Linked DNA regions of Nothobranchius furzeri. The protein of the gene in region 1 interacts with the protein of each later gene in a biochemical or structural test. Links are inferred from orthologs where the notes say so. Each region holds a gene or a part of one and is shown on either strand. Other genes may lie near its edges. The genes, in order: nrip1b and rxraa.

Region 1 (16,557 bases):
ATCACAGCCGACATAATTAGAGGAACATTTTATTTCTGAAGCTAGTTGACTCAAACTTATTAACATTAAAGAAAAACTGAAGGGATAAGCCATCGCTAACTGGAGTGTGTATGTTGTGATGATGCAAACCTGATCGGGCAGATTGCCCTCCAGCTCATCACTAATTGTTCCAGCTTGTCTGTTATGTTTAGGCACATTTTATGGTTTGATGTTTTATAGACCACTGTTGAGGGGCTCAACAAAATAAATGATGAGTAAACACTTGGTCTCACATTCTCCTCTTTCTTTATAAAACGCCAAATCACGACGAGTCGTCTCAAGGACCTTCACACAGCAAACAGTCCAACACAGGTCAGTTCATTAAGCCAATCAGTAAAAAGTTTCCTGTATAAGGAACCCAGCAGATCGCATCAAGTCACTGACTAGTGTCAGTGACTTTACAGCAATCCTCAAACTAAGCAAGCATGCAGCGACAGTGGAGAGGAAAACTCCCTTTTAACAGGAAGAAACCTCGGGAGGATCCTGGCTCAGTATAAGCAGCCATCCTCCACGACTCACTGGGGATCGAGAAGACAGAGCGCACACACACACACACACACACACACACACAACATATATACCATTCAGCTTCTGAATCATGAAGAACATGACTCTAAATCACAAAGATGATCTGTGAAGGTAGTTTAAAATGGCCCAATCTTTAGGGACAATGGTCACGTTGTAAGTTAACCGATACCAAGCAGTGCAGTAGTATCCTGTCCGCTCTTTCTAGTCGTCTCTTTGTTCAAAAACATTAACAAGGTCAACGGTAATTCCAACGGTTCAGTGCCGGCAGCAGACAGATTAACAGAATTCTCCATGTTGAAACTGTGTCAGCGTTTTATTCCCATTTCCATTTGTCCTCTCGCTGACTAGGAGCCTCTCTCGCTGCATATTAGTCATCTTGCCAAGCTGTAGTCAAGGTAAACATGTTTACATGTTTACTGCACTAATCAAACGTGGCCTTACAGGCCATTCCATTATAGCTCTGTTAAGCTCAGTGGCGGGAAAATAGTCCTAATCCAGTGCATCTAAGATTAGTGTGACGGCAGACGTCAGATGGCCCAGGGTGACCAGGTTGGCCTTTGTCATTTTCTGTTTTAGGTCGTAGTTTAAAGATAACCTTAAATTATTAACGACGCCAAAAGGCCGATCTCTTTCTGTTGGAAATGGAATGCTGCCGTCTGAAATTCCAGTGGAGCTCTAAAGGTGACCACCCTAATATTCTGACTTGGGATTCGTGTGTGATTTAACCATCCTAGATTTGGTGTTTAATAGAGTCGTTGCATATCCCACCTGGTTGTGACCTGATGCTGTCCACAGAGATGGATTTGAGCCTGATTAGAAGGATGATGCTTTGTTTGTGGTCCTTGCTTCAAATATAAAGCTGAGGACATTGCTTTGGCCTTTCGTCATAAACAGGAGCTGCTCTCCTGTCAAGTGACCTGCAGCGTCGTTCCACTCGGCCCACACAAAAGGTGAAGACAGCATTGGGAAAGGACAAGGACAGCAGCTGAGCCAGGGTGGAGACTCTGTATTAATTAACCTTTGTGGGATGTGCCCAGGAATGTTGGAGGTGTCCCGTATCCACGGAAACCGTGCTGACAGGGTTCAGAGCAGAGGTCTCTCAGGGCAGCGTCTCTGACACTGTCATGGCAACTAGCACAACGTGCGTCTCAGTGCCACCAGCTCTGGCCTCCAGACAATGCCGTGCCGTGACAGGTGCACCTGATCCTTAAGCCACCAGTAATACTCATCCAAACAATCCGTGGATTGTCTCTGCTACTCATATCTCATAGCTGTAAACTTCAGTCCCATAAGACCAAGGCAGGGTCAGTTGTGTGTGTTGTCTTCGTAATAAAAGTGCTTTCAGATTGGAATAAGAATAGATTCTGTTTTGCTTTATCCCTTTAGTATTTGGTAACGACAGCCTCAAAAATAATACTGTTGAAGTGTATTTAGTCATTTTTCTTTCTTTTCTTTTTTTAGAGGGGGGGTGGGGGGGTCCTTAGTCGCGGTCCAACAGTGACTTGTGTTTATATTGCAAAACCACTAACATGAAGAAGAAAGAAGAAGAAAATATCATTTCTAAAGCGCCTCTCAAGATAAAAATTACGAGGCGCTTCACAAAAACAAAAAATGTGAAAATATAAAAAAGCATTTAGAAAATGTTTTAAAATATATTAAAATGAGCAAAAAATAGGAAATTGTGATTAAAAAAAATGTTAAGAAAGAGAGAGAGTGAACAGGAAAGAGGGAAATCAGTGGATCCTGAGGAAGCTGGAATAGGTGGGGAGAGCTGAATAAAGAGAGAGGGGTGAAGAAGGTCATACAAAAGCCAGCTTGAACAAGTGAGTCTTCAGCTGCTTTTTAAAGGAGACCACTGAGTCCACTGATCTCAGGCTCAGGGGGAGAGAGTTCCAGAGTCTGGGGGCCACAGCAGCAAATGATCAGTCACCTTTGGTCTTTAGCCTGGTGCTGCACAACCAGTAGGCTTTGATCACTGGACCTCAGGGACCTGCTGGGGGTGTAGGGACTGAGAAGATCACCAATGTAAGATGGTGCTTGTCCATGTAAGGCCCTAAAGACCAGAACCAGGATCTTGAAAGTCACCTCTTTCTGTATGACCTCATCGGTACTAAATGAAATCCTGGTCCTCTGCTTGACAACATTTCAGGTCCGTAAAACTTGACTCTTTAAGCCGTAGTTGTCAACCTCCTTTCCCATGACGGACTCTGTTTCTGTTAATGGCACGATATACATCACAATGCCCTAGTGCCAAAACACAACATGGCGGCACCTTTAAGCAGGATAATTTACAGTGCTCAGCATTAATTTGTCAAAAAAAACCTTTAGTTTCCTTTCAGAATTAACATTTTCTATGAGATACCGTGCTACAAAATAATCCCCAGTGATTGCAAACAGTAGTTGCTAATTTGCACACCCAAAACGTGTAATCATGTTTGCTTCAACCAGCTTTAGTAGAACTGAAGATCTTGTGATCTAAGTTATATTATTAAACTAACTTTCATGTTATTGAGTTAACCAAGTGTTCAGTAAAACCAGCCTTGTGAAAATTCTGGAATTTGTTCTTTTGTTCACTGAGCTGCTGATTAAGTTTGTACTTTTTAAAGGGGGTGTACACTTTTATGCAGAACACTGTAGCTTCAGCTTTCAACAACACCAAGAGGTGGAGACACTTTACTATTACAAAGGGTGATTCATGCTTAGCCTGGCCTGCCAGACTCGTCCTCTGTTTAATTCTGCACAGAGTCTGGTTGCTCACAGATAGAGAGGCTCATGAGGGGCGGGACTAGCCAGCTCAGAAATAACCAATCAGAAAAAAGGCGGAAATGCCAACTGTAACGCGTGGCGGTGTAGTTTTTTTTAGCTTTAGTCAAAAATGGTGTCTGGCAATGGCGCATACATGTTTTTTTTTTTTTTTTTTTTTTTTTTTTTTTTTTTTTTTTTTTGACGAAAGGCTTTTAGCGCTTCTACTTGTTGTGGATTTCAAGACGTGTTCAGGTCATTTAGACCAGAGGAAAGAACCGCAGCGAACTCCGCTTCAGTCGCCATCTTTGTTGTTGGAGCGTTGTGGTGTGTGACGAATGCTGCTCAGCGCTGATTGGCTCGGGTAGGATTCTCAAGGGGTGGGGTTATTTGAAGAGAGTTCCCTGATGGGGCTGGCTGGTCTTTCAAACCCAAGTTGTTTTGGTTAGGGATGCACGATCAGGTTTTTTTGCTGCCGATCACCGATACCGATCACCGATACCGATCACGTGGATTGGCCAGAAATTTTCTACAACATTATGATGAGTGCTACACACTACATAATCTGGGAATAAAGGAAATGTAACCTAATCTAAAATGGTCTGTATTAGGGTTGTCACGGTGTGAAAATTTAACCTCACCGTTATTGTGACCAAAATTACCACGGTTTTCGGTATTATCGCGGTATTTTTTTTAAACGTGATACATTTGCACACAATTAAATAAACCCTGTATGTCAGGAAATATTGTCCTCAGTTTGTGTCTAAATTTTGCCTAAAATGTGTTATTTTGTAATTATGTTGTTTATTTGTTTACATTTTCCCCTTTAGTCTTTAAAATACCAATATTTGCCCATAACTTCTTATTTTATGTCTGTTTGATGTCATTTAAAAATATTAGATCAGATGATACTCAGTACTCAAGTAGCCTTCTAATCAGATACTTTTTTACCCTTACTTGAGTAATAAACCCTATATCAGGAAAATACTGTCCTCGGTGTGTGTCCTTCCAGTGAGCTTTGCAGATTTGGGAAAATGTCATCAGGCAGTAATCATTGTTAAATTCATAATTATTCTCGGAGAGAGACCAACTCTTATCTGTCCCTGGGAGCCCCGTAATGCATAGCGTCATTTCAACATGGGGGTGTCCGCGACACGGTTTATATGCAGGTAGCGGCGCTGCGGCTGCTTTATATAGCGACTCGTTGCATTCTCCCTCAACCCAAATCCTCGGATCACGCATTTTAGCTAAAACGCTAACGTTAGCTTGCCTTGCTTTGACTGTAGAGTTGTGGGTGATGGTCACACAGATGTGTCATGAGATTTGAAGCGTTGCTGCCTTTCACAGACACTTTTTCTGCACGTGCTGCAAACAGGATAGCCGTCTTCTATAAACTCCCTCGGCATTCTTCAAATATCCAAAAGATGCCCGTACTTCCGACTTTGTCTTCTTTGAGGATAATAAATGTCCTCCTGAGCGTTGCCGTCTCCTCCTTTGACCATTATTTCAGCTTTAGCTTCAAGAAAGTTTTGTTGTAAACAACAAAGCGCGCATGTGCCGCCGGCTACTTCAGCTGATGATACGGTGGCTGGTAAGGGTCACCGCGCCTACACCGCAGCCACGGTAAACCCACCAAGATAATATAGTTTTTTAAAAAACAAGACGGTTATTATTATTGTCAACTTTTTTTTTTTTACCGGGGTTTACCGCTACACTGGTTACCGTGACAACTCTACCTGATCGGTTTGCTTTGATCTATTTTGAAAATTCCGATCAAAACCGATAGGGGCGCTATCGGCCGATTACGATCAAATGCCGATCCATCGGTGCATCCCTAGTTTTGGTCAGGTGTAGAGCAAAAAGGTGCAGCTCCTTCCTAAAAAGCAAATAATCTCCAATAGAAAATAAGAGGATGCTTAGACTTTTGCATTGATGTTACTAATTTTTTTAAATCACAGCTCATCAGATCTCCAGACTTGATCCTGTTCATTATGGCCCAGTAGTTGCTGCTTCAGAAACCTTGTGGTTTGATCAAGGGTAACTTTCCACACATAAGCGTGGCCCGGCTGCCCTGTCTTTAGCACAAAGAGCTTTGTGTCTTCAGCTGATCAGCCATTTAACGTTAAACGTGCTAATATAGGCTTCTGAGATGGAGCTCCTTGTGTCTGTGATGATTTTTCTCTTTGGCATTGTGTTAACACGCGCCTGAGCTAAGACCTTAATTATTAAAGACATTATGCAACAATTCAGATGTATTCACCTAATACTTTATACTTGTTTAATGCCCAGAGACTATTTCACGGTGTCCTCTGTGTTTTCAGACTGTATGTCCTCATACTTCTGCTCATTCGTGTATTTAAGCAAGCGTGCTTCTGTTGGTGGGTGGGTGGCTCTTACTGTAGCTAGATGAAGGGTTGTGTGGTTTTAGATGAAGCTCAATTGCAAACGGAGTCGGGGGGGGGGGGGGGGGGGGCTAATCCAGTGAAATGGCAAGCTGCATAAAGAATTATGCACAGCTCTCAGAAGGCCCTTCACTTTTGAAAGACACAGCCGTGAGAGGCTTACAGCTCAAGACCTGAATGTTTTCAAGGTAGTGAGCTTGAATTTTCAATTTGAATCCAATCAAGGCTCATCTACATGTGTTGTGTGTTGGGTGGCTGTGAGGGAAGAGTGCAGAGAGAAGGAGCCGTGTGCAGTCAATCTGAAATGTTGCTAAGTAACAGCGATGGCAGACAAGGTGGGGAAATGAATGTGATATAGTGCTCTGCAAATCCCTGCTTCTCACATGGTTTCCTATTTTTCCCCTTTTTCCTTCCCCCACCACCCCTCCCTGTTTTCTCTCTATCTCTCACTTTTATAGATCTCCCCCCTCAGCTGTGAGCTCTACAGAGACACCACTGACAGAACAACAGACAACCATGGAATGCGTCAACATCATGGTGGTGGATTCCTGCTGACTCCTCGCTTGCTACTGGCATCAACCTGAATCTTGGCCTTCTGGGGTCCTGCAGCGTTTATAGGCATACAGCAATGCCTTGGAGGGCCGCCTGCCCCAGATTGCTTCCAGGCATGGTTGCTTCTTCAGCACGTTGCTGCTTGTAGCCTCTTCAGAACGATCCAAGTCCAGCGAGCGCATCCTTCTGCTCTTCTCTGTTCTCACCTGGCGCCAAGACCGGCCCTCTTTCTGGTGACTAACCAGTGCATGACTGAACCAGATGACCCAGATCACATTTATTTTCCAGTAGCAGTGCTAAGCAATACGAGGGGATCTGAGTATTGAACATGACTCATGGGGAGGAGCCTGGCCCTGAGACACACAAGGATTCAGCTGTTCTAACTTATCTGGAAGGTTTACTGATGCATCCAGTGGTGGCCGGGCCTGGGGCCACAGCAGGCGGGAGGTCCGAGGCTGTCCACAGCAATCAGCAACAGGGCAACAAGGTGGGGGGGTCCTTCCCACTAACTCACCATGCTCCAATAGCGCCCAAGGCTGGAACTAATAGACCGACTCTGGGTTCCTCACAACACCTGAAGAAGGCTCGCCTGCTGCGCTCCGGAGCGTGGAATGATCCGGGGAACCAGCGGCTGAGTTCACCCCCCATGGACCTGAATGGCCAAGTGGGAGGCCTGCAAAACGGAACGCTGGAGGAATCCCCTAATGCTGGAGAGAGCACCCTGTTGGCATCTCTGCTTCAGTCATTCACATCACAGCTTCAGAATGTGGCATTGTCTCAGAACACTAGTAAACCCACCAGTGAGTGTCCATCTCCAGCCAAGGCTCCAGCTGCAGACAAAGAGCCCCTACCTGTTTATGGGACAGCCTCCAGCCGCTTGAAAGGCCTCATGCGGAAGAGCAAACTACAGAATCACAACAACACCCCTTACAGCCGCCGTGGACACAGCCAGGACCGGCCACCAGAGTCCCCTCGATCAGCACACAGCGCCACGCCTCCTGCTGCTCCTGCTGAGTCGGTGTCCTGTGCTGAGCGTTTGAAAGCAGTGGCTAACTTGGTGAAAATTCGTTCTAGCCCCGCCCCCTCACCAAAGCCCAGCGTGGCCTGCAGTCAGCTTGCTCTGCTGCTGTCCAGCGAAGCACATCTGCAGCAGTACTCCAGAGAGCATGCTCTCAAAGCCCAGCTCTCAGGGAGATCAGCCAGCGAGAGACTGGCTGCAATGGCCAGCCAGCAGCACGACACAGACAAAAGGCCTCCAAGTGTTGGGGGGTCTCCAGACACACTAAGCTCCTTAGCAACTCAGAATGGAATGACAACTACCACGATGATGGCAACACTCCCTCGGACGGCAGTGTCCAGTCCTCAGAGCCCATCCCTGCTGCGTGGCCACAGCCAAAGCTCCCCACCCGCTGCTCCCCACGCGCCGAGCCAGCCCCCCAGAGAGAAAAGAGGCTTTGATGCTCGTCCAGTCCGCCCACCGCAGACATGCAGCAGCTTGCTGCTGCTGCTGCTGAACAACCACAACAGTCAGAAGCAGCTGACCAAGAACGGACACCTGGAGGACATCGGTGGCCTTCTGCCTCCAAGCGGCTCCTCTTCTGTCACGTCGGACAGTGAATGCTCCACCCATGAGAGAAGCATGACCAAGGACAGCAGTGATGCTGAGAGCTCCTACTCCAGCTGTTCCCCAATTGACCTCTCCATGAGAGGTCGTGGCAGTGCTAGTGCACAAGACACTGGGCCCAAAAATGCTCCCTCTTCTTCCTCTTCCGTCACCTCTGTGCTCTCTTCCTGTACCATGGTGCTGTCTTCCACCCCAGCATCATCCTCTCCTCAAGCCAGTGCTCAGCCCTCCACTTCATCCTACTCACCTTCTTCTTTGACTGTCTCCTCTGTATCCACTGCTATTTCTTCATCCTCGTCCTCCTCCTTCCCTACCTCCTCCCTGGACAAGCTAACGGAGTCTTTAATAAACAAGTGGAAACCAGAGCCATCCAGATCAAACGTCTCCAACAACAAGGAGCCAGAAATGAGTCCGGACCTAAAATCCCACCCGAAGGTCACTCTCATGCAGCTGCTGCTCGAGCGCAGGAACTCTGAGATGGCTAGCAAAAGCAGCGGGACACAGGACTTGCCTCTTGACATAACTATGGCCACCATGTCTCAAAGTCAGCAGAAAAGACTGATGTCCTGGGAGGAGAGCAGAACCAGAAGCTCCATAGAAAAGTCAGCAGGTCCGCCCCAGTCCCTCTACTCTTTTAGTCAGGACCCGAGTGGTGCACTTTCCCCGTATTCTTACCCCTCCCCCCATGTTCAGTCCAGCCCACTAGATTTGTGTAAGTCTAAAGCCTTCCCAGCTGAGAGGTCCTCAGAGCCAGCCTTTAGTGCCAGTAAACTGTTGCAGAATCTGGCCCAGTGTGGCACCACCACCTCCTCCTCCTCCTCCTCCTCCACCCCGCCCATCCCCTCCAGCAAAGGCCTGGGCCAGGAGATCGACACCAGCAGGCCCCTGGCCTTGATGGAAAGACTTAATGCTCCAGTCCACCGGACCAGCACCACTCCACTGTCAGATGGAGCATCAGGCAGCGGCACACCTTTCATTCACAAGGAGCCGTCCACTCCCTCCTCACAGATCGAGAACCTCCTGGAGAGGCGCACTGTGCTGCAGCTTCTTTTAGGAACCGGGTCGGCCGGCAGTACCACCAGCCGCAAAGACAAGTCCAGTGGTGGTTACCGGAGGAGTACTGAGGCAGCTGGGGGGTGCTACGAGACCAGCCCTGCCACCACTGTCCTTTGTGACAGCTCTAACGAACCTATCTTAGATGTGAAGGTAAAGTCTGAGCTCACAGAGGAGGCGGGGCCACCTCCTGCCAGGTCTGAGGACTTTAGCAGCAAAAAGAGACTGAGTGGCTGTGAGAAGAAAAGCCAGCTCTCCGACCCTCAGCAGGACTTGAAAACAGAAGCGCGGCCGCCAGAGGTCATAGCTAAATACGGCCTCCTGAGCCAGCTGCTCAAACAACAGACTGCCACCTACTACACTAACTCTGCAGTGCTGCTGGAGTCCCAGTCCACACAGGTGAAGGAGGAGCAGAGGGACTATCCCAGCCCCGTCCCTAAGAGGAGACGTGTCTGCCCTGAGCAGTCAGAGGGTTTGAGTCACATCAGGTCTCCAAAAGCAGTGGACGGTGGTTACACAAACATGTCCGCCTCTCCCACTGTTCAAGTGGAGCCGGAGCAGCAAAGGAGTCTGAAGGAGGAGGAGGTTCCACCAAGCGAGACCCTCACTAGGGAGAGCCGTGGCTTCAATGTTCTGAAACAGCTGCTGCTCTCGGACAACTGTCTGAAGGAACTGTCCCAGCAGCCACGTGGGACGCCCAGTCCCGCGGCCCTGAAGGCCAATGGGAACAGTCTCTCTCAGCCTGCCCACAGCTTCCTCCACACGCCCAGCTGGCACCCCCATGGCTCCCTCAACTCAGGGCTTCCGAGTAATCTAAGACCACTGCCCACCCCTCCCTCAGACAGCACCCCCGTCCGCTTCCCATGGGTCCACCAGCCGGCTCCATGGCCTGTCGCTCAGAAGCGAGAGCCCCCGACTCTGGTCAAGCAGGAACCCGAGAGCCCGGTCCGGTGGGGCAGTCAGGAGAACGACGGAGAGGAGGAGGGTTGTGACTCGAACCCGGACTCGCCGCGGCTGTCTCGCTCTAACCCCATCCTCTACTACATGCTGCAGAAGGGCAGCCTCCAGCTGAGGAAGGAGGCGTACGATCAGGGAGACGGAGTCCAGCCTGTGGTCAGGGTTAAGGAGGAGCAGATAAGCGACATCCACGCCTATGAACGCAGCCTGAGCTCCACCCCTCAGTCACCAACACACAACGACAAGCACAGCCACGAGAGCCAGGGGCTGAGCCAGTCCTTCCAGTAAGACTGTGGCTCCACCACAGGAAGTAGAAGCTGTTCATTGACTCTATTTAATTTAGGGTTTTATTTCTGGTTTTGGGGATGAGTTGCTAAACTGGTTTTGTAAGAAAGTGTGTGGTTCTTTATCTTTTTTTTTTTTAACCATGGTGTCACTGTTTGAATCCTACCTGCTGAGGTCACAGCAGAGGCAGCGTTGCTTTGGTCTCGATGGTCCACGTGAATCCCACACGCATCACTTCCCTCTGTTGCCTCTCATAAACCTTTTACACAGAACATTTCATAGTGATGACTCAAAACATGCCAGTGCTCACTTCAGTGCACACTTTTTATTTTCGCCACCAAAGCGTTCTCAGATACAGTCTCATCAGCTTTAGACAGGAGCGCCGTCCCGGGGCAGACGCGGTGGTCTAGCACAGCGGCACTCGTGCTTAGGAGGACCTGCGGGCTCTTCGGTGAGGAAACGGAGGCTTCTCCTCGAGTGCCGCGGCTGTGGGGAAAGAACCCACCCGTGGAGATTCGCTCAGTTTTTTTATTCGTGCTGAACCTTTAAGGCTGACATTCAAGAGTGCAAATTCAGGATGCCGTGAGCAGGATGAGCGCAGATGGGTCAACAGAAACCGCGTGGCTCTTAAACTTGAGCAAATGTGTGTAAACGGGTTTCTAGAGCAACAGTCTATAGGCTGCAGCTTATCTCAGCAGACTGGTAAAACTCACACCAGTTTTCCTTGTGCGCGCGCACACACACACCACACACACACACACACACACACCTCTTTCTGTGTATGCCATAGAAATAAAACTACCTGGAGTTTGCACTTTTGAGACTGAGCCTTTTTTAACTAATGATTTCTTGGCATGTGATGGAACAGTGTCAGTATTGTTATCTGCAGAGAGAATGACCGTTTGTGAATTTTATTTTCTAGCATTTTATTCCTGTTGTGCTCGATGGACATGTTTTATTTTTGTGTCGATGTCTTGTTCATAAACTGTCAAAAGAATTGCATGATGCTGATGAAAAGAAGACCACGGTACTTTGTTTTAGCAGCAGCTGGATTCGTGACCCTGCCTGCCCACTAATCACCAAGGCCTTTGTGTCTCGAGGGAGGTCTGGCATCCAGCTCTTTATTTCTGATTGTACTGTATTCTTTCTGCTTGATTTCATTCTGCTTATCCGTTTAGTCTCGTGGTCTTTTTATGACATATATTAATGACATATGTCTGCAGTTATTAATACATTTTCACAATGATTAAATATATTTGTGTATATAGTACTTTCAGTATGAAAAATTACTATTTTGTAATGTTTAAAAAAAAGATAAGACCCTAGTTTTTAATGCCCTGATATGTAAATATGAATTCTATGCGTACAGGTGTACATATGAAGGCTGAGGATACTACACCCATCTCTTTTTGGTTGGTTGGTTCTATGCATGTGTCTCAATGTGGTAAATGATAATCTATCCTGCGCTGTGTTGTGTAACAATGTCTGACTCTCCTCACTGCTGCCTGTTGCATGCAGACGCATGGGAACTACCTGTGTATCCCTACTGGTGATGGGAGAAAATGTCAAGTCTTAAAATAGATTTTTTTTATCGCAGAGCGAGAGGTTAGCACAGAAAACGAGCAGCCTCCATATAACAGACTGAGCAAGGTGATGAAAGTGTGTGAAAAATAAACATGCATTGAATATTTTTGTGATTTTATTTTCTGTTACTGGTTAACTTAGCTCTGTGAACAAGCATGGGGCTCTAGTGTGGGATTGACGTACAATCATAGATCTGCATTGTGCATCGAAGAAATACATTTGTAGCAGCAAACTATAAATATATACATATATATGTATGTATATGTGTATACATCTATATATATATATATATATGTGTATATATATATGTATACATATATGTATATACATATATCATTAAATACATATATATATATATATGTATGTATATATATATTTATATACACACATATATATATATACATACACACGTATATATATGTGTGTATATGTATATTTATATATATATATTATATATACATATGTATATATGTGTGTATATGTATACAGATACATGTATATGTATGTATGTATATATATATATTTATATACATGTACACACACACACACACATATATATATATATATATATATATATATATATATATACATGTATATGTATATTTATATATATATATGTGTATGTATATATATGTGTATATATATATATGTGTGTGTATATGTATATTTATATATATGTGTATATATACATACACACATATATATACATATATGTATATATATGTGTATATATACATACACACATATATATATATATACATATATGTATATATATATGTGTGTATATATATATACATACATGTATATGTATGTGAAAATGTCTTTTTTCATGTGAAGACCTGAAATATTTCATTTTTTTTTAAATGTTTTCATTCTTGGTGTTCATTTGCACTGATATCTCAGAAATAAAGTACTAAAATGCATGACCTAGTATGGATGTCTTCTTGTTTTTCCGTGTTGCTTCTAAATATCAGCTTAAGAGGGAATATGAGTTTTTTTTAAGGTAAAACAAGTCTTCTGATCTGGGGATTTTTGAACAAATAAAACTTATCAAAAATTAGCGCTTAGCTTCTCTGATTTTTTGACCTTGGGTGTCCTGAAAGGCGCTTTTAAATAAAATGTATTATTATTATTATTATTTTCTGACCGCATGAACCGAGCCATGAAAGTTTTCAGCAATCACAGATCAGCTGCGCTCTCCAGGTTCAGCAGCATTTTAGTATAAATGCAACTGATTAATAGTCTGTTATTCCTCGCTGATGTTTGTGGGAAGTGTTTTGATTTGAACCAGGCCAGAGTAAGTTCTGTTGTTTTAAATGAAATTAGTCTTTCGTCCTACAGGGTTCTTCATGTGGCCGGTCGCTTTTACAGAAATCTTTAATAAAGCAGAACAATAATTAGGGAAATGTGGCTTCTGCTGCTCCCAGCACCAGACTCTGGCCTGATATGAAAGAATATTATTTTTTTAAAGAACATCAAAGCCGAACAGCTTTCTGTGATCAAATACTGGTTTATTTAAGTGGGGCGGGAGGATGTCCTGTATTTGCCCCAAAACTGGTGCTGCTGGTGTGGCTGCTGCTGTCCTCACAGCCGAGTCTTAACAAAGGCAGGAAAGGTTCGGTGAGGCGGGATGGAGGTCACCAGATGTCCTCCAAGGGGACGTCTCTGACACCGACTCAAAAAATTCATAATAGATGTGGTTGTGTTTAAAGCACTGAATCATTTAGTCTGAGAACTGGTTTGTGTTGGAATCCTGGTGGAGTTTCTCAGCCTCCAGCGTGACACATGCCAGAGGTGAAGACGAGTTCAGCTTCCTCTAACTGCTGCTGAACATGGAGTCCAGCGAGCCAACAGACAGCTTTTTGTCTGCTGCGCACTTTTGAAATGCAGCGCAGTTCCTCAGCGATGACTTCCCTTTTCATTAAGTCCTCCCCGTGACCGACTGACTACGTGCTCTTTAAACTCTCAGTAACCTTTCCCCCCCAGTCAGCTTCTCCATTCTGAGATTCTTATCACGGCTGAACCGCACTAACCTCTCGATTCCTTGCGATTGCTGAGGCGGTGGCGAACATAAAGGAGTTAAGCAGAGGTCAAGGTGTAAAACGTAACAATTGGCTGTTTGTCTGCAGCGTCTCTTTGATTTCCTGACCTCAGCAGGAGGCTGAGTGGATGCCGGAGCCGAGCACCAGAACACGCTGACCCAACTGTAGGCCAAGGACTCCGGACGTTCCTCCACACGCGTTAGAAGTTCGCAGGCCTCCTAAGTCGTTTCCTACTTTAGATGCTTTTGTGTGACCAACAACTTAATGACAGCACTTACTGTGCTCAGACCAGAGGTCATCTACAGGGACGTGAACCACTAACTGCACTTGTCTCTAGGTGGTCTGTCTGCCCATACGAAGGCCATTCAAGCCCGGCGTAAGTTGTCATGGCGATCTGTGTGACGAACTCACAGATGTTTGACTGCCCTCCTCTCCTTGGGTGTTTGATCTCTGAGCACATGAACTGACCTCACACACACACACTAAAATCATTAGACGTAACGAGCATTTGAAAGGCCTGACCCCGTTCAGAGTCGAGTGAAGTGGACGTGAATCAACGCGGCTCGTTTTTCATGACGCCACCAGAGCCGCTGCAGCAGCCAGGTGAGAGAGAGCTCTGAGTCAGACAAACACCTGGGGCACTTCTGCTCCGTGAAACCAGGTCAGGGTGGTTTGTTTTCTCGACCCGGTACTGGCTGTCCCACTGGGACCGGAGTGTTTGAAGGTACACCTCTGTCACTCAGCCCTGGGGGGTCACGGCCTTTTGGCTCCACCTCCCATCCACTGACCTGGCTGATGTCTGTTTCCTGGGATGGGAGCAACTGTTGTCCTGCAGCTGTGTCCCCCCCTCCCCCCCTCCCCCAGCTGAACAACACTCCTCCAACTCCCCCTTCTCTTCAAAGCTTCAGCCATTCCTCTAAGGTTTAGAGCAGGGGTCCTCAATTATACCGGGGTCGGGGGTTAGGGTTAGACCCAGAAGCAAGAGGACCAGGGTAACCCTCCCTGACCCTCACTGCTCCTCGTAGCCTCCTGCTCTATCATCACGAGTGAATGTCTTCTGTCTGATGAGTCGTACGGAGAGAGCTCCGTTATTGGATGAAGATCCTGCAGGTGGACATTAACAGACCCGTAAACGCTCCTCCCTGAGCTCCACGCAGAAGCCTGGCAGCTTGGACGGATCCCAGCTGAACACGGGTGATGTTCGTCCTGTCAGAAAGGCGCAAGGGCAGATGTTTGGTGGCGTCGGGGGAAACGAGTGAAGCCCATCTCCTGTCTACCGCCTTTTACCTTCTCACAAATGTTCCTGCCTGTAAATGTGAACTCTTCAGCTGCACATGGCTGATCTGAGCCCTCCTGCAGATAGAACAGGTTTGCTCTTGACCTGACTCTACTCATATTCGACAGACAGCCAATAATAAACCACCATTTGTTTCCATTTTCCGACTCCTTCACGTGAAAGAAGTCATCATCCGGAAACGTGTTTCACCACTGACGCCCAGTAGGCTCTGGGGTTGATCTGCAGGGTCGTGAACTTCTCCAGTAAACATTTCTGGATAAGAAGGGCCAGCTCAGGGTTTACCAGACTGGGTGTGAACTTTGAGCTTTGGCCTGTTTAGAGTGATGCACGCTAAATCTACGTTTGTTCTTTGATGTTCCACTCAGACCAAACCCAAACGTTAAAGGGAAAGGTCCTCCTCCTCCACATCAGCGGTGTGTTTGTTCGTTTAGCACACACTTTTTGTTCAGCTGCTCCGACAAGCGTGTTTCTGGCCTGTGGGATGAAACCCACAGTGAGCTGGGATTCAAACTAGCAACCATGCTACCTGGTATGCCACCATGCAGGTCGTTATGGTTACAATAATAATAATAACAACCTGTTTTGAGATTTTTTCCTCTTAGATGGGTTTAAGTTCAGCTACGACCAATAACTTCTGTATCATTCAGCCCTTATTGATCAGAACAAATATGTGTTGTTGTTTATAACTGAGGTAGATGAGCAAGCTGGAGCTGAATGACCCTCGTTATATGCGATGGAAAAGATGATCCGGTCAGGAAGTGCGACTTGGAGACAGGCAGCTTTTAACCGCTTCATTATTTACTCCGTCACAAAATCAATGGCACCACTGTGCTGCAATGTTTAAAGAACAAAGGGAACACGCGGGATCACGTGGTTTAATCTAACAACACCCTCTCAGCCGAACGCCAGGACCTCGTCTTCCTCTAGTCTGCAGGTAAAAGCTCTCAGCTCACCTGTTCTCTGACGGATTAATATCCTGCTTGGCACGAACGGGCTGGAAGTGTGGAGAAGTCCCGGACACGGACGAGCCTGAATGTGAGTGGTTTGTTAAACCTTTGTCGGTGAAGTGATGTGCGATTGGGTTTGCTGCTCGTCCCTCAGATCCTTTCATCTATCAGAACATCAGCAGACATGACGTTGTTAAACTGCATTAAACACACTTCAGTCACTCTTTTACAAACAACAACAACATAGCAGTCACACGTGGATGCTCAAACACGTCATTCAGACCACACTTCATCTAGAAAGTTTTTGAGCAGCTTCAGTTCAGAGAAATGCCGATTATTTCTGAATTCCAAACGAACCGGCTGCCTTCAGAACCACGTCTTCGACAAAGCTACAGTCAGCTCACCAGACAACGGCAGCATAGGTGCTGGACTCACCTGTCTGACTTGCTGCCGACAGAGGATCCGTGCAGAAACTAATGACACATTTACCCTGAGCTGATGGTGT
Region 2 (16,829 bases), on another chromosome or scaffold:
GTGGAAAACTGGAAAGGAAGTAATTCACAACACAACTAATGAATGATGAGTCTGTGAAGTTGGGGTTTTACTAAATCTGTTTAAACAACAGTTTCACTCAACGGAATGTAAAAAATGTAAAAGCTGCACTAGCAAAAGTGTCTTCAAAAGTTATTAAAGTCTAGAAAAGAAAGTTGCCTTTGTTTGACTCAAATATTGTCATTTATGTAGAATCAATTTTCTTCCATTCAAAATTGATAGTCCAAAATTTTAAAAGATCATAAATGTATTAGGGATGGAAAATTTATCGGCATCAATATCGGTGTTGGCCGATGTTAGTCATTTTTTTACATGTCGGTATCGATCCGATTAAAAAAAACGGGCCGATATTATCAACCGATATTTTTTCCAACTTGTCTCCATTTGTTTGCCTGTTTCAGAGGGCGAAGGGGGTGATGTGTATTTGTTTAGTCACGTCACAGTGACTGTAAAGCGTAAATGTGTGTGTGGTGTGTACATTATAACGTAAATTCAGCTTGAATAATTTTTATTCTATACAATATCTGCTGGTTTTAGAAGCATTTATGTCAGTATATCGATATCAGCAAACATTGGTTATCGGCCATAACAGTGATCTTAATATCGGATATCGGTATCGGCCCAAAAATTTCATACCGGTGCATCACTAAAATGTATATATTTTCAGTGTGTTTTCTTCCTCTGAATCTATGAACCTGTAATTAGACTGAGTGGGACCATTTGTGTGTGTGATGATTGTTGAAAAGCATTTTGCAGGATATTAAAATATACGACTTGTACAAGCTAGTCTGTGCATCCTGACTACGTATTCTGCGTTTCAAAGCAGTTTCTTCTGTAACAGCTTCTGCTGTTGTTGTGCACTACTTTCCACTTCAAGGACTGTGTGTTCTGCTTTTCTAAAATCTTTTTTAATGACTTTCCTGCCTGCTGCTGTTTGGTCTGCACTATGAGGTCCTATCTACACCAATCAGAGATGTTTTATGACAAGGGCCTTGCCTCACCACTGGTAACTAAGCCACAAAATTGTTAGCCACTATGATAAATGACTTGCACTTTCATTGTGCTTTTCTGAATCAGAGGACTCCTTAGTGCTACAGTGAATCATTCATCCATTCACACACTGATGGTGATGAGCTACAATGTAGCCACAGCAGTCCTGGGAGGCACTGACAGAGCAAGCCTGCCAAAGAAAGACCCCACCGATCCCTTTGATCACCACCAGCAGGCAAGGTTCTCCAAATTGTATGATTTTGCAAGGAAATTCAGAACCTCCCTGCAAATGCCATCTGCAATTAGTCAACAACAGTCACAGCCTAGCGGAGTGTCAGCACTAAAATTTTAAACACAGGAGAAGTTCTAGCTAAAATAACATCAAACCAGATAGAGCAGTATCAGAACAGGGGCATTGTAAAGGTCACAATTTACATATCCATCTATTTTGGTGAACGTTTTTAGAGGAAAGAGGAGTTATTGGATATTTTAATGCAATTTAATCTGCAGGTTTTGGTGGGAAATAATCAAAGCAAATAAAAAGATGATGGGAAAAATATCAGCCATTGTCATCTAGAGTGTTTGACTACACCTTCAACCCTTTGTACTGTCATCATTCCCCCCCTCAATCTGTCAGCTCCTGCAGCAGTAGGTCCATAATTGTGCAATAACGCTGGCCTGAATTGTAGGTAAGAAGATGATGCTCTTCAGGGAGGATGATTCTCCCCTCCAAGATAAAACCATCCTCAGCCAAGTGCTGACAGGATTTATTGGTGTGTCTTTTTAAATGTAGCCAATTTCACTTTAATATGATATTAAAGAATGATGCATGCCCGGGCTTGACATATTCCCATCGAGGAAGTCTCATCTGCCACAGGCAGCATTCAGAACCCTAAGATGGAACTTTGGTAACCGGGCTGATGGCATCGTCGGTATAGATGGCAGCCCTCAGAATAGATGGCCCCCAATCTATTGGAAAAATATTGTGCATTTTTTCCCCTTTAACTGGGATTTGTGCATTCCCTGAATTTGATGGGCAGACATCAACAAGGGCTTTATCAACCCCATGAAATAAGTTATTGACAGAGTGAGCAGAATTTTATGTTCAAGGAGAAATTGATTTGTAAAGGTGCCAGTCGAATCCTGCTTTGTACAGATTCTTAAGTGATTCCAGGATTTAAACTGAACAGGGAAAAATGACAAGGATCTAGACAAAGTAATTTTGAAATCCTGGCTTTAAACTGTTTTCAAACACGTTTTGGAAAATTTTAATCCAACATGAGACATACATTTGAGAGAATTTAAAGCGTAAAATGTCATAAACATGACTACGCATGTAACGTAAGAATGTCTGATCAAACTTTGAGGTTGGAGGTTTTCTCTTTTTTGCCAACACTACCAGAGTCCCAAAATGAAAAACATCATTTGAAGTCACGGACAACAAAAGATGTTTGGATGTAGAAAATGGTAACTGGTGTTTAGTTCTCTCTACTTTCATCCGGCCTGTTATTTGATTACGTATGTGTATGTTGGGTCCTCCTTCCTGCCTCTGTGCTCGTCTCCAGCATTCTCCGTGTCAGCTTGTGTTGATTTCCGCAGGGGAAGTTGCCTCATTGCTATCCCAAGACAAAGCCCTTACCCTAGGGGGGTTAAGGAATGTGAACCCGGGACATTGACAATTGGGACCTTCCTCTTGGGGCAGACAATGCTGAACACCTCCGAAGGACCTAATGATCCTAAAACACTTTTAGGCTCCCCTTAGCTCACCTTTTTCTCTGCTGTGCTCAGTCAACTGGTCACATTTAAGTGGAATCAGATTTTCAAAGACAGATGTCACTTTACACCTAATCATTCAATCTGCTTAATGTTTTTTTCTTCTCTTTGTGAAAGTGGGCCATAATATTTTTGCCCAAGTATGTGGGTGCTCTTTGATTGCTTTAGCAAACTATCTCAGGAACCGCTGGTCATGTATTTATCAAACACTGAAATAGATCGCTAGCCCCATTTCCATTATCCAAACTTCCAGGTCATTATCCCGGACCTACGCAGCACGTACATGCCTTTATTTCACGGGACTGGACCAAAAGTACCATTTTCTGGGCCGTTTCAGGGATCATCCAAGTACCTGAACTGAGGCATGAACTTGTCAAAGGCCTGATAGAGTTGCTGATTGGGACTTGTGATTAACTAACTCAAAAATCTGAACATGGTGCAAATGTTCATTTAATTCAGTAATTCAACTTAAAGCTGTTATGGTGAATCTACAGAACAAGCTAGGTTTTGGACACAATAGCCTAGGGCACACGGAAGACAGATGTGCTGCGCCATGTCACACCCGCGACGTCATTTTAAAAAGAAGGCATTGTAGTTACTGACAGTGGCTACACAGGGAGCACAATCCCATGCCCCAGAAACACTGATCCGCATGGAGGCGCTGAAGACAGTGCCAGTGCTACTTCAAGCGCGGCTGTTTACGAAATCGTGGAGTATTTTACAACAGACATTACAACGCGGAGCGGCTCTGTGGCACAAACCCAACTGCCAAAACAGGGACGAGGAGCTTATGAATGCTACTTGATTACAGTATTGATAACTTTAAAGTACTATTGATTTTAAAATATTCTAATGAATTGCGTACTTACCCATTTTTATGAAATAGAGTCTCGCAAAGCACGGCCAATCTCTCTTCCAGCTGAATTCTCTGTCCTGTTCTCGACTCCCGCGTGATGTTGTTACTATCGCATGATTTTCCAAGAAACGTTCAGCGGCATAGCGAGTCGTGTGTGACCATTTGATTTCCCAAAACTGCAGCGTTTTCATGGCGCAGTGAATCTGTCATCTGTGTACCCCGGGCTAAACACGGTCACAGGACACTCACCCATCCCCTCGGGTATCTTCACTGAGACGCTTCTGCTGGAACTGAAAACCCGCAATGCTAGATGAAACTAGACAGCACTAAACACCAGTTACCATTTTCTAATCCAAACATCTTTTGTTGTCCGTGACTTCAAATGATGTTTATCATTTTGGGACTCTGGTAGTTTGTCCTAAAGTTGAAGCGGTAGCAGCTGGCTGTTTCTTTTTCTCTGATATTGAGTGGAGAACCTCTCTCATCAGTGGTGTGATCTGGCTAAATACATGAGTGTGTAATGAATGGAGGACCCAGGGAATTGCAGCAGTTCAGCCAGACCAACAACCGGATGCTTCAGTAGATGCTTTTGATCCAAACTGTGTCATTGGCGGCAGTTTTAGACAAATGAGAGAGAACCACTTTATTATTTTTTTTCTTCTTTCTTTTAATCCCCACAATATATTCGTAGCTATGTTGATAAGATGCATGAGTAAAATGTTTTAAGCTAATTTGTTTTCCAAATTTGACATTGGAGCTTTAAAAGATGAAACTAATACATGAGATAGACTCAGTTCATGCAAAGCCAGATATTTCAAGCCTTTATTTGTTGTAATAGTGATGATCATGGCTTACAGCTGATGAAAACCCCACATTCAAAACCTCAGAGAATTAAAATATTGTGAAAAGGTTCAATATTCTAGACTCAAAGTGTCACACTCTAATCAGCTCATTAATCCAAAACACTTGCAAAGGGTTCCTGAGCCTTTAGATCAGGGGTGTCAAACATACAGCCCGCGGGCCGGATCCGGCCCGCAAACGGGTTAAATCCGACCCGCGAGATGGTTGTGTAAACTTTGTTTTCATACTTTACAACGTAGAGTGAAAATAAACGTATCTTTGTGAGCAAGTTTTCTCTGTAATGAGTATAAATAAAACAAAGTTGCGCTCAAGGCTCACACAAGAACGTGAGTCACATCCTGAAGTTGGCTGCCACTCAGGATGTGACTTCTGATACTGATGTTCTGGTGAAAGCTAAAAGATGTTAAGTAAAATGAGTCAAATATACTTTAAGTGCTGCATGAAACTGATCTAGCCATGTGATCTGTAAGCTCTTTGAATCACTGAGGAATGTTTTTTTTTTTTTTTTTTTTTCAAATTTTCAAGTAAACTTCAGGTGTTGTACTTGTACTAGTTTGGATACACTGTCCTCAGGCTCCAGCTTTGTTTTATATTGATTGTATTAAAACAAAGAAAACAATCTGAAGTTGTTTTTAATTTACCGGTCCGGCCCACTTGGGACTAGATTTTCCTCAATGTGGCTCCTGAGCTAAAATGAGTTTGACACCCCTGCTTTAGATGGTCTTGCAGTCTAAGTTCAATTACTGAAATAAATTGAAGTGTTACTGTTGAAGCAGGATGGAAAGATAGAAAATAGGCAGCTGCTTTAAAATAGTTTCTAACGTAGCAGAATCCCTCCCACAATGTCTGGTGCTTTCTTTTGCTATAGAGCACCCACTAAAATGGCCTTTCTGCTGATCACTGAATGCTGGTTTTTAAGTCTCACAGCTGATCTCCCATTGCCCTGAATGGATTAAATTGTGGCAAACTTTGAAGAAGAAGAAGAAGAAGAAGAAGAAGAAGAAGAAGAAGAAGAAGAAGAAGAAGAAGAAGAAGATCTTTTCTAAAGCGCCTCTCAAGATAAAAATCACGAGGCGCTTCACAAAAACAAAAAATGTAAAAATGTTAAAAAAAAATTAGAAAATGATTAAAAATGTATTTAAACTGAGCAAAAAATAGACAATTGTGATTAAAAATGTAAAGAAAGAGAGAGAGTGAATAGGAAAGAGGGAAATCAGTGGATCCTGAGGAAGGTGGAATAGGTAGAGGAGAGCAGAACAAGGAGAGGGTGAAGAAGGTCATACAAAAGGCAGCTTGAACAAGTGAGTTTTCAGCAGCTTTTTAAAGGAGACCACTGAGTCCACTGATCTCAGGCTCAGGGGGAGGGAGGTCCAGAGTCTGGGAGCCACAGCGGCAAATGATCTGTCACCTTTGGTCTTCAGCCTGGTGCTGCACAACCAGTAGGCTTTGATCACTGGACCTCAGGGACCTGCTGGGGGTGTAGGGACTAAGAAGATCACCAATGTATGATGTGCTTGTCCATGTAAGGCTCTATATTATTGACACAATAAAACGTTTTTAATGGCATTAACGCATTAACATTGATGCCTTTTGGTGCTGATCAGCGAAGTCACCCACTGCAGCAATAGTGATGTACTGATGACTTAGTACCCTAAATCTATCTATTTCATCAAGGAATGTTAGGCTTTTCATTTTAAATTCAACAAAAAGGATTGCGATCTGGAGTGATTTTATCATGAATTATAGAAACAGACAAAGTATTTAACCAACTTTCACCTTTTTGATTTAGTCAGTGATTTGTTGGGAATGATCAAAACCTATATTTGTACATTCCTCTGAACTGAGAACTGTCGTCAAAGCCACAGAAAGAAGCCATGATGCCTTCTACGAAAGCACAAAGGACACCAAAAGGCCCATTTATCACCCACTTAAAGAGGAGAGCATGGGGGGACAGACTGTCAAAGCAACCCCAGCAAAGTGTAACGTAACAGCGGTGGTGTCCCATCCCCTGAGGCCACTTAACACACCGCATGAAGTTAAGAAACAAAAGGACATAACTGAGCAAAGATAAAGCAGTTTAGATGTGAGCGAAGATTCAAGGCCACGGCGACCATCACACCTCAGGCGTAGAAAAGAGCTAAAGGAGCCACCAGAAAAATTATGTGGATGAAGGTGAAGGGTCAGGCTGCTATTAATCACGGCTTGAGTCAAGGATTAAATAGCTCGATCCAGACGAAAGATGAGAGAAAGCGTCCAGATTGAGGTGTTTAAAAGGATCGTCTGCCTTATATTATAGATTAAGTGCTCGAGGCAAAACAGCCTTTTGAACTAAGCACAAATATAACTCACTGATCATCCAGCAATCATGATTAAAAAGTGTTCAAGCAGCGGATAGACGAGGGAAATATTCAACAAAGAACCAAGGCAGAATCAGACACTATCATTCTTTCTGCTCACATCTGCAGCTCTGTACAAAAACACACCTTGGATCGGTGCCCATTCAAACTTCAATTTACTCTTTTCTTACACACTCGTCTTTGATCTCCAGTGTGTCATGGCTTGCATTTATTATGAATCACACTTTATTAAAAGCGTGGCAAACACCTTTGAGTCCTTAATAAAAGGAGGCTCGTAACAAGAGAGCCAGAGGAAGCGGCCCTGAGTGAGACCGGACATGGAAAATGTAAAACCTGCCATGTTAGAGGAGACCAGGTGCACACAGAGTTGTGACTTGTGTAAACGGTTGTGTTTAGAACTGTTTAAGTCAGTATCTTAATGGGGCTGCAACAACTGCAACAGACTGAGAATGGCCTTTGAAGAGGAGTTTCCAAAATGTCTCAAAACATTTTGAAAATGTTTACAACTTTCAAACTGGTCACAGAGTCATTGGGGTCATGAAAGTGACAGAAACTCCATCTACAAATAAAACATAATGTTTCTAAAAAGTTGTTTTACTGTTCTTTAGATTCCTTTTCTGGTGATTTCTTTTGGAGGGTATTTGCCTGTGCCGCTTGTAGCTCTAAAGTAATCAGTTTCCACATCAACCATACAACATTTAACATCTAAGCAGCGTGGATCATAATGGAAATGTGTTCCCCACGACCACGGCGGCTCGTCCCTTCCTGTCGTGTCACACAGCTCCTGCAAATGCATTTCTGGGACTGTGTGCCTGGTAGTAACCAGGGGTTGATGAATGGCCTGCATCTTTCTGAGTCAGAGGACTCCAAAGCGCTTTACACTACATGGAATCATTCATTCACTCACACAGCGATAGTGATGAGCTACATTGAAGCAACAGCTGCCCTGGAGCAGGGAAGGGGAAGTGTCTTTGCCCAAGAACACAACTGGCACTGACAGAGCCTGGGTTTGAACCAGCACCCTATTAATTACAGGGCAAACTCCTAACCTGATCTAAGGCAGTTCACCCTCCCCACCTGTTGCTGTGGTCAGAGGGACTGGTTTTTCATTAAACTGTTTACCAGCCCATTCCTAACGGTAACATTCCTAAACCCCTTTTTCATTTTTCGTACAAAGATATTTGCTATGAATGTGCCTCCAATATTTATTTAAACTCAAGACTGAACACATGATTGTTGATCCAGAGATCCACCAGTAATTCCAAAGTCCAGATATAAAACTGGATGGGATCACTCTTTCCAGTCTGTTGCACCTCAATTATGGAATAAACAACACTGTTTCAGCAGTCTGGAGTCATTTAGACTTTCTGATTAAAATGTCTTGTTTTAGTAATCTGTTACTGTTGGTTTTTTAAATCATGTTTTAATTGCAATGCTCTGTTATTGAGGCACTTTTATCAGTAAAAGACAAAAATAAACGTAAGTTTCTGACTTTTTTCTGTGAATTAGACTCAAATTTAAAGGAAAGGGAGTAGAAAAATCTGTGCTGAGCCAACACTCCTGGTTCAGCACATGTGACCAGGTCAGAATAACAGGAGATAAGAAATGAATAGGTAGCTGCCGCTCAGCTGGTGTGGTGCAGAAAACCTCCAACTGGCGAAAAACTGCGCGTTTCTTCTAGTCCTTCTCGAGGATTCCACATGTTGCGTACCCAAGGTCTCATCGTTTTTTTTTTTTTTTTTTTTTTTTTTTTTTTATTGTTTGCGCCGCGTCGCTGCAGCCCGGAGCTCGTCGGTGGGAGTACCCCCTGCCTGCGCAGGTCCCTCTTTTGCTGAGCCGTTCCAGTAGTTGGAGTTGTTGTACAACCGGAGCGCGTCACTGAGCTGCGAGCAGCTGAGTGCGCAAACAGAGGCAGAAACGTTAGGTTATCTTCTGATACGGTCACACATCGACCTGCCACTTCTTCTGCCGCTCACAGCAGCAGTGGAAGAAGAAAGGAGAAGCAGCAGCAGCAGCGTCCCGGTCCGGCTCGCGGAGCTCGAGCTGCCGCTTGTGTGGGAGAAAACTCCCGAACACGCTCGCCTCAGCTGGCATGAGCTAACCGACGACTCCGACATGGAAACCAAACCGTTCCTGTCATTGGGTAAGTTTGTTTGTTTTATGACAAAGCCTCGCTGAGGTGTTTGTAAACGGATTTAGTTGCTCTCGCGCCGCGTAATTCTTTTGTTTCTGTTTTGACAGCGCGTGCGGCTCACCCACATGTTTGGAGCTGCTCACGCGCTTTTATACATCTCTTTAAATGTTGCTAACTGATAAAACTTTGTGTTTTATCGTTTATCTGAGAAAGAAAAGACCCAGATAAGTCAAAGTTAGGTTTAATTCCTGAAGCAACTGAGTGAGCTGATGACAACTCTGATAAGAGCTCAGACTCGCGTTCGTTTCAACTTCTAAACGTTACAAAACAAACTACTTTAAATGTGGGCCTATTTTTGTTTGTTTGGTCGCTTTAGATCATAAAAAATGAACACATTCCATTTTTAACCAGCACCTAAACTTCTTTTGAACTTACCATTTCTGAGAAAATGAACTTAATACTCTATTTTGACCTAAATCTGGAAGGACTTAGCTTTCTCATAAGACGTGTTCCTAATATATAATATAAGAGACCACTTTAATAACGTCGGTGTAACCATTGATAGGTGCCGGTAACCTCACATGTGACCTCTGCACTTAGCTCAAAGTTTACATCTGGACCATGTTTTATGGATGACGTTGTTGAGCAAAGCGTTGCATGGATCATTGTGCAAGAAATGGCACATTTTATGTTCAGCTAAAGCTTATTTTGCACAAATGTCAGTTTATGTTCATTTGAAGCTTCCGGCACATCAAAGTCAGGAAGATCCAGGTGTTTAATCTGAGGTCAGATCTAATTTGCACTAATTGGCCCATTGACGGCCCATTGACTCCCCAGCTTAAACACAGGCACACTCACCATGCTGTAAATCATTAACACTGACTGCTACTGTAAGTTTGCTAAAGTGAACACAGGAGACCCTTGTCCCCCCATACCCTCCCCCAGTATTGTGTCTGCTGCCTTTCTTCATAAGAGCATCATGTTACACCTTGACACACATCACCAGCTGCATCAGGGAGATTCTCAGGGACCTCCTGAGGCACTGGGCAGCTTTCTTCAGTTACAGGCTCTGCTCACTGACACTCCCGCCACAACACCCTTTATGTGGCTTCCCAGAAATACGCTAAACCGCCAATGCTGCACACACTGGCAGGCTGTTATTGCAGGTGCATTGTATTGTGTATCTGTAATGAGAATGATTAGAGTTTCATGCTGCCTGAACGTGCACTAGAACTGCCCATGACAGCATAAACAGACTGGAAAGCTTTAATCTAACAGTCTTTAATGGTCGGTGTAAATCTGAACCCCTTTTCCACATGTGACAGATCTTTAGTGGTATTCTCTTTGAGTCTTTAAGTGATCATTTATGTTTGAAATCACACCAGCAAAAGCAGAATGTTCCTTTGGTTCTTCAAGGACACCCTTAAAGTCCTTGGATTTATTGATTATCCGCTTACTCAGAGTAATTATCTAATGTCGTACTCCATTAGAAATCCTGACATGCATCTTTTTGAGATGACAGCGAGCACATTTTACAGTTATAGATTGGTTGTTGGCCGTGATGACGACACCTGGCTTTTGGCAGCTGATGCTCTGTACTGCATGTGTACTTTGTGCTGATGTGGTCCCACCATCAACTATTGCCCCCTCCCTGCACGTGCACACACACACACACACACACACACACGCACGCACGCACGCACGCACGCACACACACACACACAAACACACACACACTGACATCAAGCAATAAAGACCAAATGGATGACATTGGAAGGAGAGTGTGTCCTTCCATCCCAGCATTAGAGGGATGATCATGACAGTGTGTCAGTGAAATCAACAGTGAGAGATGCCAAAAAAAATCACAAGAGAAAATACATTTAGTCTGTTAATATTGATTTCTCATTTGTTCCATTGCTTTAACCAAATGTATCAACACCAAGCCTACTTTCTCTTCTTACAATAGTCATTTGTTTAATAACATTTATAGTCTTGTCAAATCTATCTTTTTATTTAAAAGCATGTAAATCACAGTAAACTGCACAATGACTGTCTCATTCTCAAAACTATGATCACCCCTGGATTTTTAACGTTGTTTAGACTATAAAGAACCAGTTTTGGACACAAAAATAATAGAAACTGTGAACAAATATGTTGGAATTCTGCAAAAATGGCGACACTTTTCTAATAAGTTTCATCTGAGTCATGGGGAGCATGACTCACCTGTGACAGTTGCACAACTGTTTTGTAATGAAGTCACAAATTGTCTTACTACACTAAACTGAGAAGTGTTCCAGACGGGGTCCACCGCTTACTCTGACTTTTTAAATGAGGAATAACGCTGCATTAATTAACACCAGTGCCCTGCAACTCACACAAGGACTTTTTGAACTTCCGCAACTGTTCTTGGACATTTTTGAAATTCCCTGTTCACAATATTCACCATCAGTCACATGAGGGTGATATTCTGGTGTGACACCTTTTTGTGTCACATTTTGAGTATGTTAAGATCTGGAATCCCATAAAACTTGCCTAAAGTTCTCAGAAAATGACTAACAAAGGTTGTTAAAGTTACAGTGAGCAGTTTCCAGGTCCTTCGCCCTAATGGTTGAAAGTGGAATCACAACTGCCGTGAACAAATCCGCTGTAGTTTGCTGTAGCTAGTGCTAACAACAAGCTAACACTAACATAAGCAAACTAATAATAAAATAAGCCACAACGTAAAAAGATCCACACTGTTGGACAAATATTATTACTTACAAGTTCAGTAGCAACAAAGCCAGGTCACTATCAGTCTATGATTTCTTCTTGTGCTTTTTTTTGAAAATGGGCAAACTGAAAATGCTAACCGCTAGTGTCACAGCGGTAAAGGTAAAGAGCGCCCTCTAGTTTGTGATCAGAAGAGAGCTGCAGAGAGGTGCCAAATAGGAGGATCTTTTGTGATGTCAGTATTCATGTTTCTCTCATTGCATCATGGGACGTGGGTGGCAAGAAACAATGCATTTTGCCTATAATTTGGTTGTTTTGCATGTTTGGAGGAGGATTCAGAAAAAAAAGATGGATCATTCTTGCTGTGTGATTGATAGCTCGGCCCGTGGGAGGCTTGATAAAAAAGTTTTATTGGAATTTCCTCTGTAAATGACCGCAAAATATGAAAGAGATGATAGGAAGCGATCCGAACTCTCAGAAGAAAGCCTGGACTCCTGCAGCAACGGACAGTTTGAGGCTCATTTAGTTCACGGTGAGTCCATGTAACTAAGTAAGAATTTGTTAATTACCGAAGATTTAAAAAAAAAACATTCATCTTTGTGTAATTTTAAATCCAGAGTCATGTTGTATTTGCGTTTTGAATCAGGTGTCAACCCGCGATCATAATAAATAAATGAATACTGATTAATGAAGACTTACCCAGCTTTGCAGTTGCAGTGAGGATATATCCTTTTTCTTTAGCCATCACCCACAGATGACGTAAACAACGCTGTGACTTTCCTCGTCAGCATTAACTGCTGCAATTTGCATGTCCATGGTTTCAGACGAGATCGGCTCAGCTTTCCTTAAAACAAAAAAATCGTAGGCCTCCAGATGATTGAAGATCTTTAATTTTTCATTAGTGAAGGGTCCAGTGCTTCCTGTTGAATAGGAATAAATGTCTCCCCAGCAGATTTGTGGAAAAACACTGGTGAATCGGACTGACGTTTTCTGTCATCCCAGAGGTCCTATGGACTTTTAACAACTTTAATTTTCTCTTTGATAAACATTTTAAGCTTCTCTCTAAACTTCCTCTTGTCTTTAGACTAACTCAACGATCACTGAGATCAGTGTTAAATCTGTTGTTACTTTAGGGATGATTGAAAGGGTTCATTGGCTTTATCTGTTTGGTTATAAACCACAACAAAGGGTCATAAAAACAGAATATTTCCATTTTCATTCCAACATTCAGTATTATAAATCATCAAAATGCCTGAAAATAAAACAAATAAAACAAAATAAAATACCAGAGCCACATGTTTACTAAAAAAAAGTATGGTGATTTGTTTTTGTTTTCTTTTTTGGTCTGATCTCGGTTAGGAACTGACTTAAAGCCAATTTCAGAGGGAACACAGAACTAGAATAAATAACACCTGAGGCTAAATAAGAAATGTCTAAAATTAAGAAATTATGATGTAGACATTTAGATATTATTCTTAAATATGAATCAAATCTATGGCGAAATACCCAGGAACAAGATAATTCATAAGGTTTCCATACAAAGCATTATTAAATATCTGTACGCTGACCTTAAATGAAGAATAAATGTAAGACACAGTCAAGGAATTTTAATGGACATGATTTGTTTTTCTGTAGAGCTTAAGCTTTTAGCGTTTCTTTACTTCTGACTCTGACACTTTTGACTTTTGGATTTCTCATCACCCTTTTTTCACTTGTCTGAGCATCTGATACCTACATAAATTCTCTGACCCTCATTTCCAAAATCAGTGAAGTTCACGGTCTTTGATGAGAAAGTGAGATTCATGGTGGTGTTTGTCTTAAGTTAGGGGGCTGAGGGCTACATTCCTCGTCTGGCAGTAACTCAGGAACAAAGGTAATACAGGGTGTGTGTGTGTGTGTGTGTGTGTGTGTGTGTGTGTGTGTGTGTGTGCGTGCGCACGCGCACTTACGTGCGTGCGTTTGTGAGTGAGTTTGTGTGTGTGTGTGTGTGCATGCGTGCGTGCGTTTGTGAGAGTGTGTGTGTGTGTGTGTGTGTGTGTGACACTGCCAAAAGCATTTGGCCAAGTTTGTCTTTTACGGCCGTCCAGTTTTGTGTTGCTGATGCGATGCTTTTGCTCTCCTTTTGAGAAAAAAGGGGTCCACAGCTGTCATTTTTATTGGAGGAGTTTTATAGCAAGACTTAATGGCTTAAAGTGACAGCTCGCTCTCCCTCTCTTTTCTCCTTTTTTTCTTTCTCACAATCTCACTCATGAGGCCTTTTAACTGAAGCAAGCCAAAGAGAATTTGCTCGCCTTCTGTGTGCCCACCTTTGACTTTCCCACCCCTCACCCATGCTATCATCTAAACTATAAAACATGTTTTTTTATTTTGCAAAATTAGGAAGCACATCAAGAACATCCTGCGTCTTGTTTTTGAACACGTGTGTTGATCATAATTAGAAAACAATATAACTTTATATCTAGAAAGAGGTTCCTTTGGTTTGAGAGAATTAGTATGATCATTTTTTCTCTGCAGTGAATCCAAAACCGTTTTAAAGCTGGACGAATCTTAGGATGACTCAAAAGCTCGTTAATTATTTGTGTAAGGAGCTGCTCTCGCAGGAGGTCTTTTATTGATAATGGACACAATGACCTTTGCACCTCAAACCTTGACCTTTGCTCCCCATATGCTTGATCATTTGAGGAATTTGCCTTTGGCGTTCAGTCCTTTTTTTTAAAGAAACAGTTTAAAGACAGTAACTTGTTGGTCCTTTGTGCCTCACTTTCTTTGATGATTTTTTTCTTTTGTCTACTCTGTTTTTGTTGCTTTGTGCTGTTAGGTTTCAGTCTGAGCTGAAGTGATTGGCATATCTGAAATGAGTCTATAGGAGTATCAAATGGTCTTCAAACACATTTTCTGTTCAAAACACTGAATAAGTTAAAAGTTGGTGTTTACATCTTAAACCCAAATAATGTGTTGTATGCTTATTTTCTTTATAAACAAGCTGCTAATTATTGTTGGGATCCTTTCCATTTACTTATGCTTACAGATGCCTGGTTGTTGCTCAGAGAGCTTTCTCTCCCTGAGTATCAGAATGGTTTTGGCACCGCTGGTTTCAGGGTTTACTGAAGGTCCTCTGAGTGTCTGAATGGCTTTTCTGCAGGCTGGCATTATTCAGGATGCGTACAGCCACTCTTTTGAAGTGGAAACATGGTCTCAGTGGGGATTTGGCCAGATCACACTCATAATTTGTATTGAGAGGAAGGTCAGTTCGCCCTACTCCATCCACAGCTCTCCTCTCTCTTTTCTGTGTGCATCACTAAATGATTTGGGGATTGACTGAGAAAGGCGATGGAGAGGAACTAGAAGTTCACCTAGAAACTCGAGTATGCGTCTTCCCGTGGCACTGGGTCCATTCTGGCCCATTTGTAGGCCAGACGCCTCTTATTGCTGATATAAACAAAATATATATATATATATATATATATATATATATATATATATATATATATATATATATATATATAGTTGACAACTTTTGTTTATACACATACATGTAATCAGGGTCCGAAATTAACACTCGCCACTCGCCAAATGCGAGTAAATTGCTCCATTTGGCGAGTAAATTTTTGAGCTCTACCTGCCACCTGGCGAGTAAATGTTTGCACCAAATTAGTTATGTTTATCAGTCATCTAACACGGATTTCTGATACTTCTCCCGCCTGCATGCAACGTACACAAACGTACGCGAAACGTGAATGCCGCATCCAACGTCATTTCCACCATCCCATTCAGTCAGTTTATCAAGTTAGCCGTTAGCTTCGTGTTAAAACTAGTGGTGAAATGTGGCGGTTTTTAACTGGAGTCAGCCAGCCTTCCAAAAGAAAACTCATCGAACTGGAAGAAAAACCACCAGGACCAGTGGCAACCAGAAGATTTTGTGAAAAGTGGCGAACTGGAGACGGCGGAGTCGTGAGACAATGGCTACATTATGATGGCCACGTAGCGTTGCTGACTTTCACAGACAGCTGTCCCTCGGCATTCTTCAAATATCCAAAAAATGCCCATACTTCCGACTTTGTCTTCTTTGAGGGATAATAAATGTCCCAAGTGCCGTCTCCTCTGGCCATTATTTCAGCTTTAGCTTAAAGAAAGTTTTGGTCGTAAACAACAAAGTGTGCATGTGCCGCCGGCAACTTCAGCAGATGATACGGTGGCTGGTAAGGGTCACCGCACCTACACCGCAGCCACGGTAATCCACCGAGATAATATATATATATATATATATATATATATATATATATATATATATATATATATATATATATATATATATATATATATTTTTTTTTTTTAAACAAGACTGTTATTATTTATTGTCAACTTTTTTACCGGGGTTTACTGCTACACCGGTTACCGTGACAACCCTAGGACACACTTTCAGATATTCTCATGGTGAAGCTGTGTTCTCCAGAGATCAAGGACTAGGACCCAAATGAGGCTGTAATGCTTTGGCACAAAGATGGTGTCAGAAGCAGGAGGCCAGACTTCATGGACAGAGAAAACAAGGAGTTTGACTAGATTTCAATGAAAGAGTTCATAAAAACGTCTCTAAAAATAAATAAATAAACAGTAAAAGTGACAAAAGAGTTGTTTTCCTTATTAATTGATGTTTTAATTATTTTGTCACTCTGTTTGGAATCAACATAATATAGAATAACATGCTTTAGGTAGATCTAAATCATTTATAATTTTGGCCGGTAAAAAATATGCTTGGCCGGTAGATTTTCATCATCTACCGGCCAACTTGGCCGGTGAGTAAAAAATTTAATTTCGGACCCTGCATGTAATTATTGTCCATTTGTCATTATCGAGAGGAACTCCTCAATACACTGTGCTATTGACTTTAGGCCATATTGTCCTACTCCAGCTGATTATTGAGTCCCACTTATTGTATGCTCTGCTCTGTTCTTAGTCTTTTTGATTAGACATGTAATAAAACAATCTTACTTTTCAATCCTACTTGAAAGTAATGATTCATTATGTAAATGATCAACAACCAGTAGGGGTGTGTATTGGTAAGAACTTAGCGATACAACACATATCACAATACGGGGGGACGATATGATGTATTTTGACACTAAAAACCAGA

Evidence for each region.
Region 2: the proteins of nrip1b (region 1) and rxraa form a complex in vitro, tested with the Homo sapiens proteins (2 studies listed by BioGRID). The link is inferred for Nothobranchius furzeri from reciprocal best matches to the Homo sapiens genes NRIP1 and RXRA.

The regions. Positions count from the first base shown.
Region 1 is NC_091750.1:42,793,476-42,810,032, reverse strand, and holds nrip1b (nuclear receptor-interacting protein 1), read left to right. Parts: upstream 1-6,364; 5' UTR 6,365-6,591; coding exon 6,592-10,185; 3' UTR 10,186-10,417; downstream 10,418-16,557. UniProt on the Homo sapiens protein: Modulates transcriptional activation by steroid receptors such as NR3C1, NR3C2 and ESR1. Also modulates transcriptional repression by nuclear hormone receptors.
Region 2 is NC_091746.1:41,863,156-41,879,984, reverse strand, and holds the start of rxraa (retinoic acid receptor RXR-alpha-A), read left to right. Parts: upstream 1-8,705; 5' UTR 8,706-8,970; coding exon 8,971-8,998; intron 8,999-16,829. UniProt on the Homo sapiens protein: Receptor for retinoic acid that acts as a transcription factor.